Linked DNA regions of Rhinolophus ferrumequinum. The protein of the gene in region 1 interacts with the protein of each later gene in a pairwise test. Links are inferred from orthologs where the notes say so. Each region holds a gene or a part of one and is shown on either strand. Other genes may lie near its edges.

Region 1 (9,706 bases):
CATCTCGCAGGGCAGGGGCTTGGGGAATGCGGGGTTTAGCGGGATAGAGGAACCATTTTAAAGTATTTCCCACCATTTTGTGCTCCCACCGGAGATCAGTCTTTATTGGTGCCTCCGTATGTGCTGCCTGCAAAACCCATTGTTCCTGCTCTAATGCTGCAAAGGGGGCTCCTCTTGTAGGCAAAACTGGCAGATCTCAGCCTCATCCCCAACCAGTACTTTGATGAGATACGCAGTGGGTTGAGGTCTTGATAAACAGGCAGTATCTGGTTTGCCCCAGATTAAATGCAGCGCCACCCCAGGTATAACACCAAGTCCTTGTTCAGTGAGTTGAGTATGAAGGCGTCCTAGGAAATGCTGCCTCCCTGGAGCATGCTGCTGCCTCGCTCCCAGCACTGAGAGGAGGGGTGTCATTATACCAAACTACATTGAAGAGTATACAGTCATTCCTTGGTCTCTGCAGGGATTTGGTTCCAGGATGCCTGGGGATACCAAATCCGTGGATGCCCAAATCACATATAAATGGTGTAGTATTTATATACGTACATATTTATATACGTATATCCTGTATGCTTCAAATCATCTCTGTGTTACTTATAATAAATACCTAATACAACGTAAGTGCTATACTGTACTGTTTAGGGAATAATGACAAGGAAAAAAATCTGTACCATGTTCAGTACCAAGTGCAACCATGGTAGGCCTAACTACACAGTACACGTAAGACAGATGTAACTTTTTTCCTGAGTATTTTCTATCCTCGATTGATTGAACCCAGGATAGAGAACCAACTGTACTAGAGTTGCAAATAATTGGACCAGGGCTAAGAAGACCCAGGTTCTGCCACTTGGGAACCATGCAATCTGGGGAAGTCACTTCTCAGTTAAAAATACAGTCACAACAGGTATGCTTGTGTTGACTGCTGTGAGAATCAGATGAGACAATAATAGACTCAAAAGTGTTTTGTAAACTCTTGGGAGATTATTATTTCATGATTAGAGGAAGAGAAAACAGCATTTAGTGACAAAGTTGTAAAGGTAGATGTCAGGGAAGGTGGTCGATGAGAAGGAAGAACGCAGCAGTTGCTTCTGGGAAGACTCAGCAGTCAGTGGTGACGGTGGCTGAGAGCTCCTGGATGCGCCAGGCGCTACAGGCCTTGCACAAGATGTGCCCATCCAGCGGATAACAGCCCTGACACTCACCCTCAGAGGAGAGCAGCAGCCCACACTCCTATTAGGAAAAAAGCAACAGCTTTCCATCAGGCCCAAACCCCTGGTTTCTACCATACCCAATATCCCCAGACCCCAATAACCCCAATAACCCCTTGCCCAGACCCCCTGACCTCGCACTTGTAACAGCCGATGTGAAAACTGCGATCCAGAGCAACAATTCGCACGGTCTCCTCCTGACCTGGCTCAGGCATGATGGCCCCACCACACACTGAGCATCGTGGAGCGAACTTCCTGGTGTAGAAGGGAACCAAGGAGGGTGTCAAGCCCCAGGTGTGGAGGGGACTGACGGTAGAGCCCAGAGAAGATGAGATGCGGAAGGGAACAGAAGAGCCCAGAGGTATGGTCTTGGATTTGGGGGAAGAGTGATGTTAACGAGAACAAGGCATGGCAAGGGTGAGAAACAGGAGAGGCTGGTACTGGGACAGGAAGAAGAAATGAGGAAGACAGGAAAGGCCAGACATCCTGAGCCAAAGGTGGGGGACCCAGCCTGACCTGTGGAAGTCCTCAATGCAGTGGATCTGGCTGGTGGCATCCACCGTGAAAGGGATGCCATCGAGGCCACGATGGCACACCACACAAGTGAAGCAGCCAGGGTGATAGGCCTTCCCCATAGCCCGCAGGATCCGGTCCAGGATAGGCTGAGAACATGTGGAGCACTTCTCCAAGGTGGCCTGTTGGGAAGGAGGTCAGAAAGGTCGGGGGCTGGGGAGGCCCACAGCAGCCCTACAGGCATCCTGCCACCCCACCCATCTGTTTATGGAGCCCCCTGCATATGATTTAGTGAAAGGTGGCCTTGTGCAGATCTGAGTGCAAATTCCAGCACTGCAGCTTCCTGAACAAGTTATTTGACTTCTCTGAGCTTCAATTTCCTTCAGTAGTAATATCTGCCTCACAGCATGTTGTGGGAATTTAACACTCTTTTAACTCCAAACTAAAAGCCTCACATTTGTAAGGGGCTGTTGTCCTTCCCCCAGCAGCCGGTGTTTAGCTACCTAATTCCTCCCTTCTTGTTTTAGTCCCCCAACTTTGAGCGCTCTTCCTCTTTGGGATTTGGACATCTTTCCCACCTTAGATGGAAGCCCCTTGCCTCCTCTGCTGATTCCAGCCTCCAGCCCCACCCACTCACCACATAGCAGCTCTCACAATATGCCCTCCTCTCCACGGCATAGAAATGTTGGCCCCGAAGCTGGGCCTGGCACGTAGAACACACAAAGCAGCTAACATGAAAGATGCGGTCCAGGGCCACAACCCCGGCCCCATCCCCAACCACATCTTCTCCGCAGCCACCACACCGGCCTGGGGACAGGGAGGGACAGGGTCAACCTGCATAGGCCAGGAAGCCAGGTCTGCTATCCCTCTGTCTCTCCAGCCCCCCACCCTTTCCACCCACCCTCAGACTTAGCTCACCAAAGTACTCCCCACTGGGCGGGTGGCTCATGTCGTGCACCAGCTTCTTGGTCAGCCTCTCGAGCTCCTCCTCGGGAGGCTGGCTCAGGGAGACCTGGGAGATGAGAATCAGAGGTTCAGCCCTACCTCTAGCTCTCGATGCTGTCAAAACACCTGAGGGTGACCAGGCAATTCCACCCAAAAAAGCTCTCGCTGAAGAACATGTCATCCCAGGGCCCAGGGACATGTCTCGAGCTAGTGTGCCACTCCAGCCCCCTACCTCCTACTTTTCCTGACCTGCCCCACATCCCCAGAGGGGTCCAGAGCTCTGGCACCCCAGACATCTGACAACCAGGCCTTAAATATCACTCCCATCCCACCCAATCAGTGTCCAATTGTCTGTGAGGACCCCAAATCTCAGTGCCTGGGGCTTACCTGGGGCCCATACCTGCCTCCTCTTCCTCCTCCTGCAGGGATGGAGACCCCAGCAGCCTCCTCTTTACCCCCGGGCCCTGGCTCTCGGTGGCTCCTATAGCCAGCCCCCCAGACTTCACTTCGGCCTGGGAGAGGAAAGTGGGGGCCCAGAAGGGGCCCAGAGGCCTGAGAGGCCCCCCGCCTGGGGGGGCCACAGCCTCTCACTGGTTGTGCCACCTTCACTTGCACAGGGAAGGCAGGGCCAGCGGGAGTGCTGGCTGTAGCATAGGAGGCTGGAGTGGGGCCCCCATAGGGGGACACTGGGAGCAGTGGGGGAGGAACACCACCTCCATTTGACTTCAGGGAGCCCAAGCCAGGGCGGTAGGCAGGGGGCTGAGGGGGCTCGTAAGCCTGGGGAGAAATGCAGAGGAAAAGGAGTGAGGTGGCCCATTACAGGACACACACCTGTGAACACCCCAGCCCCACCCCATGTGTGTGGCCACCAGGTAAGGGCTGGTTTCTGACAAAGGCCCACCCTGGAGAAGCTGACAACCCAGAAGTTCTGGTGGCCCAGCTCCTTCCATGCTGGTGTGTGGCATCACTTACACAGAGGGGGAGGTGAAGTGGGAGTAGGCTGAGTGGACAGAGAAGGGACAGGGCTAAGAAAAGGGGGGCAGGGGCAGGACAGGGGGGTCACCTGCCGGTCAGGCCTCCGAGGAGCATGACCACGACCCCCATCCAGCTCAGCCAGCATGCTAGTCAGAGAATCTATCTCAGCATCCAGACTTCCTGGGCGCTGGCCCCCCCTGTCTGGGGGGGGGCCCTAGGGATAGAGCAAAAGCAGGGAGAATGCAAATCACATGGCCTCCTCTCCCGCCCTGAATGCCCCCCAACCCCCCAATCCCAGTTCTCACCTGCGAACGCTGGGGTGTTCCATGGCAACCCACCCAGGCTGGCCCCAGATCCTCGGGCCCCCCAGGGACCTGGTAACACTGCTCAGATGGGAGGGGGCAAAAATTGACCCTGGGGTGGGGCTGAAGTGCTGGGGTGAGGGAAGAGAGTGAAGGTGGGGATGGGGAAGGAGACAAGGGTGACACTTGTGGAGGACCCTCTCAGGTCCTTTTCTCCCCTTCCCCCCAGATCCTGGGGTCTGAGAATGTGGCAGGAGGCAGGGAGGGCCGAGAAAGGGCAGGGGCAGCTGATTTCCAGCCTGGCTTCGGGGAAGGGGCGGCAGGGGAAAGCTCGGCGGGAGGCAGGGGCCCGCTGGCGGGTGGCTTCCTCCATCGCACAGGGGTTGCCTTACCTGCTCCGTGAGCTGGCGGCGGCCCCAGGGCGCCTCGGGGGAGAGCTCGCCCCAGAGAGGCTCTGGCGGGCTCTGGCTGCTTCGGGGGGAGCCAGGTGGGCCCCGACATGGCCTAGAATGGGCGTCTCCAGACAGCGCGTTCAGGGTCCCACGGAGCCCGAAGCCTCTGGACTTGACCCTTTCTTCGGTCGCTCACCTCGTTTGGGACTCCAGGAAAGAAACTTTTTCTGGCTTTTTTTCCCCTTCCTCCCTAATTTGGGGGACGGCCACGCCCCCGTGACGTCACCGCATTCCTGGGGGAGGGTCACGTGGCCCCCTAGGCCCTAAACCGCGTTCTTCCCCGGAGTCGGCCCCCTCCTGCCCAACAAGGAGGGCTTTCCACGGGAGCCCGTCTGAGGGGCCGTGGGCAGCTTCCATTTCCACGAGTCCCCCCAGGTCCGCTCCCCAAGTCCTGCACGTGGCCACCTCGCCTCTGGGACATTCCAGTGCTCCTCTTTCCCAGGTTCCCCTTATACAGATGTCTCCCTTTTCCAGTCCCACCTATCCCATCAGTAGTGTTCAGCCAGCAGTAGTGTTTTGGTCGTTTATTGACATTCAGCAGTTAGAAAAATAAAACAACAAAAACGTCACAACCTCACTGGTCAGTGAGTCTGTTGGGCAAAGGGAGACTGAGGTAGCCTAGACTCACAAGCGGAGACCCAGCCCCCATGAAGGCACCAATTAAGGGAGGGAGGGGGCAGGGCTGACTCCCTCTCCTTTGTGGCAGGGATAGCTTCCCAGCATTAGTGCACCAGGACCCCTCTCCCAAAGACAGAGAGATGCCCCAGCCCAGGATCCCCTAATACCTCTACCTGGCTCTGTGTCCCACATGCAGGGCAGGCCCAAGGTGGCCCTTCCCCTCCTCATCCACTAATCAAAGTGGGCCACCAGACCTGGACACTCCACTTCAGGAATGGAGCATCAGAGATCAGTGCAAGTGACAGGGGTGACACCATGAATGAGCAGTGTGGGACCCAGATCTCGGCTCAGAATCTCCAGAAGTGCCAGGTAGCGAGGGTAGCGCGCAGGATCAGCAGGTGGCCGAGGCAGGTATAGGAAGGTGAGGGCAGTGGTGGGCCCCTCCCTGCCATCCCCACTCTCAGGCCCCCCAGGCACTCCTCCTCTGCCTCGCCCCTGCTGGGCCCGAACCAGGGCGTTGGCGCTGCATGCCAGGGCCTCTGCCTCAGCGTCTCCTCGCCTGCCGTTCACAAAGTCCCCTTCCTCCTCCTCCTCAGGCTCTCCGGAACCAGCCCCATCGCCCCACACCACCTCCTGCACCTCAGCCCGGATCCTCAACTGGCTCAGCAGGGCTCGGAGTCGCCCCTCGGCCGCCCCTGGGGCCTCTCGAGGCCCCAGGCACAAGAAGATCCGTAGCCTGGCACTGTGCCAAGCAGGCACCATGCCCAAGATGGTTGCCATCTGCAGCAGGAAGAGACCGCAGACGTCCACATAGCCAGGCCCACCCCGGGGCCGCAGAAGGTTGAGGGGCCACACATCCACGTGATGGGGCTGAGAGGTGCCCCCAGACGCCCGGCTTAGCCGCTCAGGGGGCAGGGCCCCACAGGCTCTCGCCAGAACCACGTTCTTGTTCATCTTGAGGGCGTCCGCTACCGTGGCCACGTAGTCCTGGGGACTGAGAGCCCGGGGACTCCCAGGAGCCCGGGGTGGAGGGAACAGGGTGCTCAGGGCTGGGGACCCACCCTCCTGGGTGCCATCAGCAGGCTCAGAGAAAGCCGGGTCTGTCAGGAAGTGGTCCTGAGGTGCAGCATCATCGTAGAAACCCAGGACCAACGTGTTCGGCTTCATGCCACCTGGGGACAGAGAAGGGGAGGTGGGAAGGAACCGACAGGAATCAGACTCACCAGCTGAGTTTTCACCATGCGATACACATCCACTCGTACACACTGATGGCAACATTGGATATGACATTCATTCCACTGTGCTTGGGCTCTTAGGACAACATTATGCATGTTTGCATGATGACTTTTAGTTTTCCCACATTTGCATGCATTTATTTGACTTATCTCCATGACTAATCTTCCCTGTTTAAATAGGCAAAGCAAGTTCACCTTAAGATTCTTTTAACTAATGAGCACTTTTGGTGGCAGTAGGATGCCTTCAATCCAAGCTTCTAGCAGCACATCTTTTTCATGATGGGAGTCTGACTCCACTGGGTAGACCAGACCCCCTAATTAGTCAAGCTCATGGCCTCAATATCCAGGGAAACAGCACCCAGACCTTGCTGGGGGAGGATGAGAACTCAGGGCCGGGGCTGTGCAATCTCTTTCCCTAATGACGGCATGTCCAAAGCACGACGCCCAGAGATCAGACAGCTAACATCTATCTGCACACTAACCAGGGGCCACGTCCTATTGAAAGCACTTCATGTTTTAACTCATCTGATCCTTGAAGCAACACCATGAGGTAGGGACTATTTACTCACTCCCTTTTACAGATAAGGAAACTGAGGCCCAGAGCAGTGAAGTCACCTGCCCAAAGGCTCATGGATGGTAAATACTGGGGCGGCAGGTGAACACAATGTACCCAGCACTCCAGCCCATTCTCTGAGCCTCTGAGTTTGTATGTGTACCAATCACAACGCCCCAAGTCCCTGCCAACAGTTCCTGGTTTTTAAGTTTTTGAACAACCAATATGGAATTGGATAATTTCTCCACCCCCTCAAGAGGGGAGACTATGGAGGAAGACTCTGAGACCTCTCCTTAGACCCTTTCTCTTGAAACAAATGGGTTACCAGGAGAATTTACTATTTAAAGGAAATCTCTTTCCTTTTATTTGAATCATTTTCCACAGAATAAATTGCATGAAAGTAGTGGTCTCTTGGCATAGGTTTCCCCACAAAATGTGGGGCTGTGGAGAGACCAGGCCCTCAGCTGCTCCAGGGTCTATCTCATAATGCTTGACAACATCCAAAAACACCTTGGAACTCTAGCTGTTCTTGCAAATTAAACTAATCACACCCCCTCCTGAGCATTTTCCAGGGTTCTCATTTACACCAAATAGGGCAATGTCCAACACTTGATCTTTACCCTGATTCTAAGTGGAGAAGGAAGCATACACTCAGAGAGAGGGCAGACACCTGTACCGGGATTAAGAAAGAAGGAGGTGGCTGAGCAAAGATTTGGAGGAAGCTGGGGTGCAAGACCGGAGGCCTCAGCACTAAGACAGTCACAAAGCTGGGCATCTTCCATTCCACCCAAAAGCATCAGCCTCATACACCCTCTGCATCTCTGCGGTCTCTGGGGGCCATGTTACACCACTCCCTACTTCTCAGCCCCTTTCAAGGCCCAGCTGAAAGATCATCTCATCACAATACTTTTGCTGGCTATATCAGTGCATAGTGGTCTTCCTTTCTCGGAACTTGAGTGGTTAGAAACCATCTGTCACAGATTTGATGGGGCGGCCCCTGGCCTCAAATAATTCTCCCATTATCCCCAGAAATACAACATACTCTTTGGAATCTGTGCCCCAATTTTTGGATCAGAAAAAAATAAGTGTCACCCCATCTCTAGTCCTTAAACATCTCTTCCGAGACCTGACCACACACTGTTATCTTTGAGTGCTATGTCTTATCTGCACTAAACTGAGGGTTTGGAGTTTGTAATCTGCGGTCTAGTCTCTTGGGTGGTGGTGGGGTCACGGGTATAGCAGAGACTGACAAGAGCCACAAAGGAGGCAGAGGGGACCCAGAGAGGAGCAGCTTACCAAGACCCGAGATCCGCAGCAGATGCTGAGCCCCCTGACGCACAGAGGGTGAGAGGGTGAGGTCCACGAAGGCTTTCACTTGGGCCCGGTCCACGAGGCTCAGCCATGCCCCATACTGTGGCTGCACAGGGTCTGAGGGCAGGCAATCTGCAGAGAAGGAAAGCAGCAAATATGGGCCAAACTCATGGACTTTGTCCTAGAGTCCAAATCCCCAATGGGCAGAAGAAAAAGGTCTGGGAGGACTGTGTGCTGGTTGTTTAAGGTTCATCTGGGAAGAAGCATGAATCCTCTGGGACATAAAGAACACCAAGAGCTTCTGAGACCGACAGGGAAAGGAGGAATGGAGGGCAACTCACCAAGGTCTCCCAGGGTGACATGACCCAGCACATAGAGGCCCCCCTTCTTGAGCTGGTTGGCCAACCTCAGCAGGGGCAGGGCACCCCGGGGGTTCCCCACCAGCAGCAGCAGCTGGGGCCGCCAGAACTTCACGTGCTCCTTCCGGACGTCCAGCCGGAGCAGGTATTTACGCACCTGGGGACAGGGTAAGGTGGTGGGGAGGAAGGGCTTAAGTGGGCAGTCCCCACTCAACACATCTCAGACAGGAACCCTAACTCTAGCCAAGAGAAAAAGAGGCCTCCTTGTAGGGTAGGTTTTCCCAGACTGCCTCCTCCCCTTCCCACCCTCCTCCAAGCTCCCCTGACCTGGTGGAAAAGCAAGGCCTGGCTGACATAGCCCCAGCTGCTGGGGCCGCCTCGAGCAGTGAGCAGGGCAGAAAGCAGGCCCATGAGCAGCAAGGAGCCGCCAGCAGCCCCGGGGCTGATGAGAAACATCATGAGCAGGCAGGAGGCCACCCCCAGCAAGCAGGTGTGCCAGGAGAACAGACTGAAGGTGGGGCTGTAGGTAGACAGAAGGAAGGACACTCAGGACCGGCTGAACACTAGGCCACCCCACTCCAATCCCAGCCTCCCCACCTTGGTCTGAGTTCCTCCCATTCCTCCCTCTTTTTCTGGGGACATGGGCATCTTATTCTCTCACCGGAAGTTGGGGGCTGAGGCCCACTCCAGGCTCAGGCAGGACAGGTCCACCGCAGCATAGGCCACCAAATAGAAGACGGTGACCACTGCAGCCAGTGTGTTCAGCTTCCCAGCCAGAAGCACCAGCTGGACAAGGACCAAGAGGCTGGACATTGAGCCAACCCCCCACCAAATGCCAATGCATCCTGCCTTTCATTCACATCTCTCACCCAGAGCCTAAGCGCTCCTGATCCTGCGAGCGTAATCAGGAGGGGCTTAGGGTGAGGGGAAGGGCAGCTTAAAGAGGAAGGCTTACCTGTACTAGGCCCCATGAATAGAGCACGGCCCCCCAAGGGTTACCCCCTCGGGACACAACCTTGGCTGGTGCCAAGATCACTCCTGTGCAAACAGAAATACAACAGACCCATCAGCCTGGGTCTGTTGGGTCTGAACGGAGACTGAGAGACACGGGAGGGCACGCTCAGAGCCCGGCACGGAGGCAGGGGACAGTGTACCAAAGAGGTCGTCCTGGGCCAGGGCGTGAAGGATGCGGGAAGCACCGATGAGGGAGCTCATGGAGGCTGAGAGCGCTGTGG
Region 2 (9,075 bases), on another chromosome or scaffold:
ACCCCTGTGTCCCACCCAGCCCCCCACCCCCTTGGGTGTCTCCAGCACCCTTCTCTAGGGGTGTCTGGACTCCAGGACACGGGCTTGGAAGGGAGGGGGCCTTCTTGGGACCCACTGAGCATCCCTCATCCCCAGACCTGCAAGAGGGCGGGGCCGAGAAGCCCAGAATGCTGCCCTGGCAGCCACGGGCGGTCTCGGCCAGGGTGGGCACCAGTTCCCCAGGCAAGAAGGAGGTGCCCTCGTCTGAGCTGAGCGCCTGCACACGGCTGCCCAGGGGGCTCCGGGCATTGCAGTAGAGGATACTGCCAGCCTGCCCTCCATCCACCGCAGCCAGCTGGCACTCGCCCGAGCGCAGGTTGGGCACGAGGCTTCCATGCTGCCAGGTCTGGCCATGGTCATCGCTGTAGAAAACGAAGGCGTGGGGGCTGGTCCTGCAGATCTTGCCAAAACACTCACGTCGGTCCACGCGGTAGGTGTAGGCTGGTACCAGCAGGCGGCCCGAGCGCAGCTGGATGCCATGGCCAGGGCCCACAGCAAACGTGGCCCAGTCTGCAGATGGGAGGGGCTGCTGGTTACCCCAGAAGGGGACAGCCTCAGCTGCGAGGGACTGGGAAGATGCAGGGAGAGGGCGAGGTGGGGGACAGTGCCTAAGTCTACGGTATGGCTTGTGAGGAAGCCTCCCGTTGACCACGCCTCCCCTCCTCCCAGCCACCCTGTGTCCTCCCAGCTGCTCCAGCCTCTCCAGGCCCTTAGCAGGAGTGGGGAGTCCAGGCAGGCCATTTGGCTAGATTCTCAGCATGTCAGCAGGTGGCCAGTCTCTGAACACTGGTGTGAGCACTGGCCAGACAGAGGGGCAGCCCAGGGGTCGGGTGAGCCAAGCTTCAGGACTGGGTCTCAGGCAGCTTCCCCTGGCCTGAGCCCAGGCCCGGGGGGGTGGGGTCTACACCAGCAGGTACTTTTTCATTAGCTCTGTGTGTCCTGTCCAGGTCTCAGAGCCTGCTACGACCTTCAGTTTACTCCCACCTGCCAGGATTGGGGTGGCCCCTGAGAGCAGTGGGTGGTCAGGCCCTTGGGGAGGGGCCAGCAGAAGTGGAGGGAAAACTATGAGGTAAGGCCGACCTTGGACCTGCCGGCAACCCGCGGCTGGGACTCACTGGGCGAGGTGAGAAGGAGCAGGAGGAGGAAGTGGTTAAGGAGTGGAGGCCTTGGGGTTTGGGGGCTCAGATTCAGACACAGCTCAGGAAGATGGAAGAGCCTGCTCCTGTCGCCAGGCCAGGCTGGGTGTGACCAACAGCCGTTTGGGAGACTGAGGGGTTCGGGGATGCAACCACCCACAAACGTTGTGTCGGGTCCCTTAGGCTGGGGGCGGGGCGGAGCGGGACGGGCAGCCCAGGGACCAGGAGCCAGACTGTCCCCCACCCTATCGCCTGCAGACCACCCCCGGTGTGGACCCGCGTGCGCCCACCTACCCCGCTCGGCGCCGCCCACCGCCTCCGCCGTGAGGTCCCGCGCTCCGCCCCAGCTGCGCCCCGAGTCCTGGCTGGTCACGCAGCAGAGGCGCGCGGCGTTCCGGCCCGCGGCGATCTGTGCGGCCTCGGGCGTGCGGCCGCGCACCGCCACGAAGAAGAGGAAGACGGTGCCGGTGCGCGCATCGTGCACCGGGCAGGGGTTCATGGAGCGGTGCCCCTCCAGGGCCGCGGTGCCCATCACACGCGCGGCGCCCCACTGGCGGGAGGTGAGGGGCTTCAGCTTCCTGCCCTCACACACTGGGCGCCCGTCCCCGACCCCCGACCCCTCCCCCCCTGCCCAATCTCTCACCAGCACGGAGCCCCCCGCCAGCGTGCCGCGCCTCTGCACCAGGCGGTGGGCGTGTGTGTCGTCAGGGCTGAGTCGCTGCTCCGCGAAGGCCAGCAGAGTGGGCCCGGGGGGCACGGGCAGCAGCGCAGGCACGCGGTAGGTCAGGCCGCTTCTCTCGCTCTGGAAGAGCACGTTCCGTGCGGGGACTCGGGGGACCCCCATGCTCTGCGGGCCGAGGACCAGCGGGTCAGCAGGCAGGGTCCAAGCTCTCTTGGTCTGGATGGAGGAGGGGGCTTTGCAGGCGTAGACGCCCCCACCCACGCCCAGCCAACTCCTGTGCCCACCTCCTACCGTCCTATCCCTGGATCCCTACCCACCCCTCCTCCACAGCCAATGTTCCCCAAATGTCTGGAATCAGCCCTTCCTGTCAGCACAGCTCACCGAGGTGAAGCAGGGGAGCATGGCCAGAACCCCCGACCGACCCACCTGTGTGCCTGGGACATGTCCTCATGAACCTGCTCAGCACACAGCTGCCCAAGTGCCCAATCAAAACACAAGGCTTTGCACAAGAAGGGGTTCAGTGTCCCCAATTAGGGGTCCCAGGGAGGGTGGGCCAGGTGGGCTGGGTGCTGCAGATGTCGCTGAGGGGGAGAAGGCACACAGCATATGGGAGGAGACCATCGGATGGGCAGCATATGATGAGAATGAACATACACACACACACCCCTAAACGAGAGGGGCCTCGCTCCGACGCACAGGATAGGGTGTCTCCATGCCTGAGGTCCCTGACACAGACAGACCTGAGCCACCTCTCTCCAGGATGGCCCTGCTGCCCGCTGAGCCTAGCAGACCCCTGCCTAACCTCAGGTCTGCCCACCCCACTCGGCTCTGGGGTTTCGGACAACAGCTGCCCATGTCCCTGAAGCCCTGGGCCCCATTCCCAGTCTGCATCCAAGGGGCAGTTGTGCCCAAGCAGCACACAGATGTGAGTGCCACGTGTCCCTCCAGGCTGAATGGACACAGTGGGACATTCTCTCCACTTGGCTCTCTCCCCTGGTACTGAGACCACTGGGCGCAGAAGCAAGGGGCCCAGGTCTACCCCCTTCTGGGGACAGATGGAAGAGACGGAGGCCCCCAAGACCAGCTGGACAGAATGGGACAGGGCTGCTGGGCACTCCTTGCCCGGGCCAGAGCCCCAAAGTCCTGGGGAAGCCCCCTCAATCTAAGAGGAAGAGTCAGCCCTGCCCAATTTGGCCAATTCAGCAGGTTCCACAGCTTTGGCTTGATCCGATGTCTACATACCAGGGTTAACTGGAGCCAGCCCCTCTATTTCTTGGTACCCATCTTCCCTCCCCAGTGGGGCTCTCTGGGAGAGGCACATCGCAGAAGGGGAAACTGAGGCCTCCAAGAGAACTTGGCCTCTGACCCTGGACCCCGGGAAAGTTGTTGGGGGTCATTCTGCCTTCACAGGGGCTTGCCCCAGACCTGCCCACAGCCTGTCCTGTCAGGACTCTGTGCTGGAGCACGCAGGCTAGCTCCACACCCTCCCTCCTGTGTCACCACTTCTTTTGTTCTTTGGACAAGGAACTAAAATGCACACATGAAGAGCAGAGGCCCTCTGCATAGAAACCAGGAAGAGGACCTCCCTGGCTCTGGCACCTCAGGCTGGGGTTCCATCTAACCTGAGTGCCCTGTGTTCTGTCCCAGGCAAGGACTCAGTTACAGATCCCTCCGGCTGGTGGAGCATCCTCACTCACAGGCCCATCTGACCCTGCAGGCTGGGGCCGGGCCTCGGCTTCCGTCTTGCCGCCTGACACCAGTCTGCATCCTTCCCATCCCTAACTTACCCCCCACACCCTCCCACCTCCTCACCCCGCCCTTCAATGTCACACCTGCCCCGGGGCCAGGAAATTGTTCCACTGGGGATCCGTGTGGAACCTCTGACTGGAGGGCCCGCGGAATACACACCTATGGCCCTCCGCCCAAAGAGGGGCAGCCAGAGGGGACAGAAAGAGCCCGATCCTGGCCCCCGGCAGCCAGGGTGCAGCGAGCAGGGAGGGGACTCACCAGGCACCCGCAGGAAAGCCGCAGAGCTGGCTGTGGGGTAGCCACGGGAGTGCCTGCCTGCCTCTCAGCCCCAGTGAGCACGCAGAGACAAGGGCCCACTGTATGGGCGGGAGGCGGGAGCTGGCCTTGTCCCAGAGCTGCGTCAGGACCCAGGACCCTCCTGCCAGCCCTGCGGCTCTGGTGCAGCAGGACACCCAGGGTGGGGGACAGTGTCAGGACGGGGCCACACAGGGCTCCTCTATGCTGGCTGACCCACTCCACCGGAGGTGCTCAGGACCTGGGGGCAGGGTGGCCACAGCTGCCCCCAGGCATCCTGCAGAGACCCGTCCCCTAAGAACAAAAGTGAGTGCTCAGAGCCTCCAGGAACCTCCGTGAACCCTCACACCCCAGCCTATGTGCCAGCCTGCCTCTCCCCCAGCCCCCAGGACTCAGCACCTGCCACCCTCACTGGGCTCCAACCCCATGTCTGTGCTCAGGAGCCTGGCTCAGACCAGGCAGGTCAGTATCCCAACCCTTCCCCAGGGTCCTGCCAGCCAGGCCCCATTAACCCATCCCCTCCTGCTGTCTCCAAGGTGATTTCATGGCTGACCGCTGCCCTGTGGCCGCAGCCCTGTGGCCACTGCCCTGTGACCGCTGCCCTGTGGCCAATGTCTGGGTGACCACTGCCTGGGCCAGGGCATCAGGAAAGGTGCTGTCTGTGAAAGCAGCTCTCAGAGGGTCAGCCTTCTCAGGGAAGTCCTGGGACCCACCTGCCCTCCTTTTCCTGCCCCCTCCCTTCAATGTGACAGGACTTCAAAGGGAGAAACAGGCTCTGGGAACATTAAGACATCATATGATGTCCACGAGGAAATGACATACCTGCTCTGTGTCCCTTCAGATCCTCTGGGCCTGAGAGAACTTACGAGGGAAAACTGGGGAGGGGGGTGGGAAGAGGCCACAAGGCGGGAGGGGGGTGCCATCTCATCTGCATGACAGCCAGTGTGGGGACAGAGCCCCAGAAAGCAGTTTCCAGGCTCTCGGCCTCATGTGGAAAGGTGCTGGCTCAGGTAGTAGATAGCCATCAGCTGTGGCTGGTTGGCTGTCAGCTGTAACCATTGACCCATTGGCCACTAATATAACTGCCGTGGCTACGGAGGGAAGTCGAGGAGAGAGGAGGAGACTGAAGGAGAGTGGAGGAGAGTCGGTCGGTTGGTAGCAAAGCGGACAGCAGGTCGCACGTCGTGTAAACCCTGCCTCCAGTGAGACCATAGTAGTATGACTCCCCTACCTATGGCTCCGTGGGTGTTCCTTTTTGGCCTAGCCATATCCTGCGTTCTTGTGTGGGGAGCGGGACCAGAGACCCCGCAGGCCGCTCCGCACGACAGCCAGCCACTCCCTGGGCTCCTGCACTCCTGACCGGCGGTGTGTCCATACATGCCCCCCTGACAGGTGGTGTGTTGACGTCATTAATGGTCACTCTCACTTTCCTACCTTGTGAGACTTTTCTATTTGGTGAATAGATTCACATCCTCACACGTCATGTGTGCTTACTGACCTAGATTTGGGACCCTCACCAAGAGGGTGAGTCACGGGTAGTTCTCTTCATAGGCATTTTCACCCATAAGACCCACAGTCTGGCAGGGCCTGGCTCTCCAGATGCCCCAGGAGCCCTGCTCCGAGCCTGAGGCCATGCCCCAGGCCTCCCAGGATGACAGCAGACGGGCTGCCAACAGTCAGGCCTCCAGGAAGGAGATGTCCTTGGGGGGCTTTTCCGGGAACCGCTGGGCGTACAGACGGGCCATGTACTGCAGCTCCGGCGTGACCATCCTCTGGCACACCTGCAGCGTCTGGTTGTCCAGGCCCTGCCGGAGGTTGTAGCCCAGGATGTCGGCCTTGCCCGACTGGTAGGGGCGCAGGTGGAGGTCAGTGATCTGCTTCTTGTCCTTGGGCCCGCCGTCCTGCAGGCACAGGGCCATGAGCTCACGCCGCCGCGCCCGCAGACGTGCCACCTCCACGCGCAGGCGCAGAGGACTCAGCTCTGCGTGCACCTGGGCCCAGAAGGTGCGGTTAAAGTGCTGGTAGAGGCGCCAGTCCAAGGCGCACCAGCGCTTGGCGCGCTCCTGGCCCTCGGGCGTCAGACTGGTGACACTGCGCTGGCTGCGCGCGTTGAGCCTGAAGGACACGACGTCGTCCAGCCGCCAGCGCAGCCGGCGCCGCAGCAGCACCATGGACTCGTCGAAGTACTCGGCCATGAGCACCAGCTGAAAGCGCCGCTCCACCTCCGCCAGGCGCGCGCGCACGTAGTTCTCCTCCGCGGGCGCGTTGTGGTCATAGCCGAGGTCGAACCACATGTTGTTCTTGGCGTAGGCGTTTCGCAGGCTCAGACTCTGGTTGTAATAGGTGAGCGGGGAGGCCAGGAAGGCGTCCAGGTTCTCGGCGTTCCTGAAGGCGGGGACGTAGTCTTTGTAATAGATGAAGGAAGACTCCAGCTGGAAGACAGGGTTTCTGAGGATGGAAAAGTAGAAAGTGTCGTTGGGCATGACTTTCTGCACCTGTGTGGAGACAAAACAAGGCCTGCTGCCACTCAGGGCTCCTTGGGGGCAGCCCACGGGTCAGGTGGTCTCTTCTCCCCCGCCCCCACCCCACAGCACACCTGGACCTGCCCACCACCTCTCCCACGTGATCTCCCTGCATCATGTCCAGGCCACCTGGCTGCCCTGACAACCACCCTCCACGACTGTCCACAATGATCCAAATCACCTGAAACAGCCACACCCCTCCCCCAAATTCCCTCTCCTTGCTCCTCTTTCTCCTGGATGGGAGGTCAGGGAAGCCCCCCAAGAGGAGGTGACCTCTAAGCTGAGACCCAAATGACCCCAGGAGGAGATGTGAAGAGCTTCCCCACCAAAGGGGACAGCAAGTGCAAAGGTCCTGGGGTGGGAAAAACTGGGCAGGTTTGGGAACCAAAAGGAGGCTGGAGAAGAAGAGGGAGAGGGTGGCAGGCTGTGAGGGCGCCTGCTTCAGATTCCAAAAGCAATGATTGGCAACTGGCAGTGGGGTGTGAAGGGGTGGGGGGCTGGCAGGGTGTTCCAAGGGGCCTCTACCAGCCCCCTCCTGCCAGATCCCTGCACACAACCCCCAGCCTTAGTCTCTGCAGCTTCCAGGCCTTGATACCTCCCCCACGGTCACACCGCAAAGTCAAAGGTGGGCCCTGGGGTTGAGCCCCACCCCCTCACCACTCTCCCTTGCCCCCACACTGAGGTCCCAGCCCCAGCCGCACCTCAGGCAGATTAAACCTCAAATGGTTGCACATGACATTGAAGCGCTGCTGGGCGCCGTCCTGCTTCACGCCCTCCACATAGTGCGCCAGGAAGAGCCAGGGGTAACCCAGGTGGACGCGTGAGCCAGCGGGCAGCGCCACCGACAGGTTGCGTGTCTCCACAAATCGGAAGAGCATGTTCAGCACCGAGCTGCTGGCGGTCTTGTGCGTCTTGAGAAACATGACGTTGGTGATGGGTGGCCCCTCAGCCTGGTCCCCAAACAAGCTGGGAGGACAGCACAGCCAGCCACTGTTAGTGACGGAGCCCCTCCCCTGTCCCCACCAACCCGCAGTCTGAGACACCCCGACCCAGCACCCCCACAACTTGCTCCCCCAACTGCATGACCCCCAACCCAGCAATCCCCTCAACCTGGAGACCCCGAAACTCTCTTCTATCACTATGATTCCCCCAATCCAAGATCCCCCAACCTGCACTCCCCATACTGGTGACACCCCAACCCTATAACCCCCAGCCCCACTTCTGTGCTCCCCCTAACCTAGAGAACCCCAAACCTGCAGCCCCCGAGGACCCACTGGCACAGACACAATTCTTTCTAAGTGGCTGCACCATCTGCCCCCACATATCAGACTGGGCCCCCAGACCCTGGCACCCCCTTCAGCCTCCCAACTTCCTGCGTGGTTCCCAAGGCCTCTGGCATGTAACCTGGGCCACACATCTGGCATTTCTTGGCTGACCCTTCAAATCAGGACTGGCCAACCTGACTGCAGGGCCCAGGTGGATGCTGGTGCCCACTTCTGTGATCTCATGATAGCACCCACCCAGCTGTGGACTCCAGATTGGAGCAGTAGGTGCCCACCCTGCTCTATGCAGGTCCCCAAAGCAAGGCCAGTAAAGATGACCCAGGATGGTAGGAAACAGGGTCCAAAATGCTGGGCATTGTTTTTGAAATGCAAAATTAAGTGTTATTGGAAGATGATCCTTTTTCTGACAGGCATTAAGTGTTTAAGAATTTTAAATCCTTTTATTTTCCTCATAGAAAAGGCCACTGTCACAAACCCGTATTCACTGAATGCTATTTTCTGTAGTCTACGCTGGCCCTGGGGACAATGGTGAGGAGGGGGTGGCAAAGAGACCCAGGGGTCTTTTGCACTCCCCAATCTCCCGTGGAGATCCAACCAGAGGGGTGGGGTGGGGGCAGGGGAAGGTGGCCTGGGGCCTCAAGACTCTCCCAGCAGCCAGGCTAAGGTGCTGGGCCTGTGTGGCCATCCTGTGGCCCATGCCCTTCACAGAGGACGTACCACCGGCAGGCAGGGGAACAGGGGTGCTGACCTCCCCTGACCCACTATGGGCCCCCCCCGTCTCCTAGTACCTGGTCACCCTCTGCCCACAGCAGCTTTACCCGAGACACCTCCAGCCTGGGCCAAGTCCCCACCCTCTCAGAGATCTCCTCACTGCCCACAGGAAGGTCCCAGGAAGCTAATACGTCCCCCAAAGGAAGGGTCCAGCCCTCCTCTTAAGGAGGGGACGTGTGACCCATCCTAGTCACTGGCCACCCCGAGGGGGGCAGGCTGGGGGCCCTGGTACTGGTTTGGAGGGGAGCAGTGCCCAGACCAAAACCCAGTGCAACACTCACGGTGAAAACATCGTGACATCCACATGCAGGAGGCCAGCCAGCAGAAACAGGATCAGGGCCAAGAGGACGATAGCCCAAAAGCACCTGCAGACAGGAGAACACGTCGGCCCCCAGTCGGGCATGGGATGGCCTGACGCCACCCATCCCACCCCACCTTGCCCCACCATCATCCATGTGACAGCTCCTATCAAACACCTATTCTGTGCCAGCCTGTGGGGGCACGAATAATCAGACTACACACCCTCTCAGCCCCCGACCCAGGAGAAGCTGAGAGGCAGACTCAATCCCTGGGAGTCGGAGCAGAGGCAAGAGCAGGTC

What was found.
Region 2: the proteins of TRIP6 (region 1) and NEU4 interact in binary tests that used the Homo sapiens proteins (3 or more experiments, as listed by UniProt). The two-hybrid records come from large-scale screens. The link is inferred for Rhinolophus ferrumequinum from reciprocal best matches to the Homo sapiens genes TRIP6 and NEU4.

The regions. Positions count from the first base shown.
Region 1 is NC_046290.1:91,071,577-91,081,282, reverse strand, and holds TRIP6 (thyroid receptor-interacting protein 6), read right to left. Parts: upstream 4,770-9,706; 5' UTR 4,445-4,769; coding exon 4,336-4,444; intron 4,075-4,335; coding exon 3,947-4,074; intron 3,856-3,946; coding exon 3,730-3,855; intron 3,444-3,729; coding exon 3,054-3,443; intron 2,734-3,053; coding exon 2,640-2,733; intron 2,529-2,639; coding exon 2,359-2,528; intron 1,904-2,358; coding exon 1,725-1,903; intron 1,464-1,724; coding exon 1,343-1,463; intron 1,231-1,342; coding exon 1,099-1,230; 3' UTR 960-1,098; downstream 1-959. Other genes in the region: SLC12A9 (solute carrier family 12 member 9), read right to left, coding at 5,296-6,185, 8,098-8,244, 8,454-8,628, 8,799-8,991, 9,133-9,257, 9,427-9,509, 9,626-9,706. UniProt on the Homo sapiens protein: Relays signals from the cell surface to the nucleus to weaken adherens junction and promote actin cytoskeleton reorganization and cell invasiveness. Involved in lysophosphatidic acid-induced cell adhesion and migration.
Region 2 is NC_046291.1:66,431-75,505, forward strand, and holds the start of NEU4 (sialidase-4), read right to left. Parts: upstream 4,769-9,075; 5' UTR 4,723-4,768; intron 3,951-4,722; exon of another isoform or gene 3,766-3,950; intron 3,624-3,765; exon of another isoform or gene 3,480-3,623; intron 2,074-3,479; exon of another isoform or gene 2,023-2,073; 5' UTR 2,020-2,022; coding exon 1,819-2,019; intron 1,726-1,818; coding exon 1,470-1,725; intron 550-1,469; coding exon 1-549. Other genes in the region: GAL3ST2 (galactose-3-O-sulfotransferase 2), read right to left, coding at 5,577-6,395, 7,124-7,388, 8,758-8,841. UniProt on the Homo sapiens protein: Exo-alpha-sialidase that catalyzes the hydrolytic cleavage of the terminal sialic acid (N-acetylneuraminic acid, Neu5Ac) of a glycan moiety in the catabolism of glycolipids, glycoproteins and oligosacharides.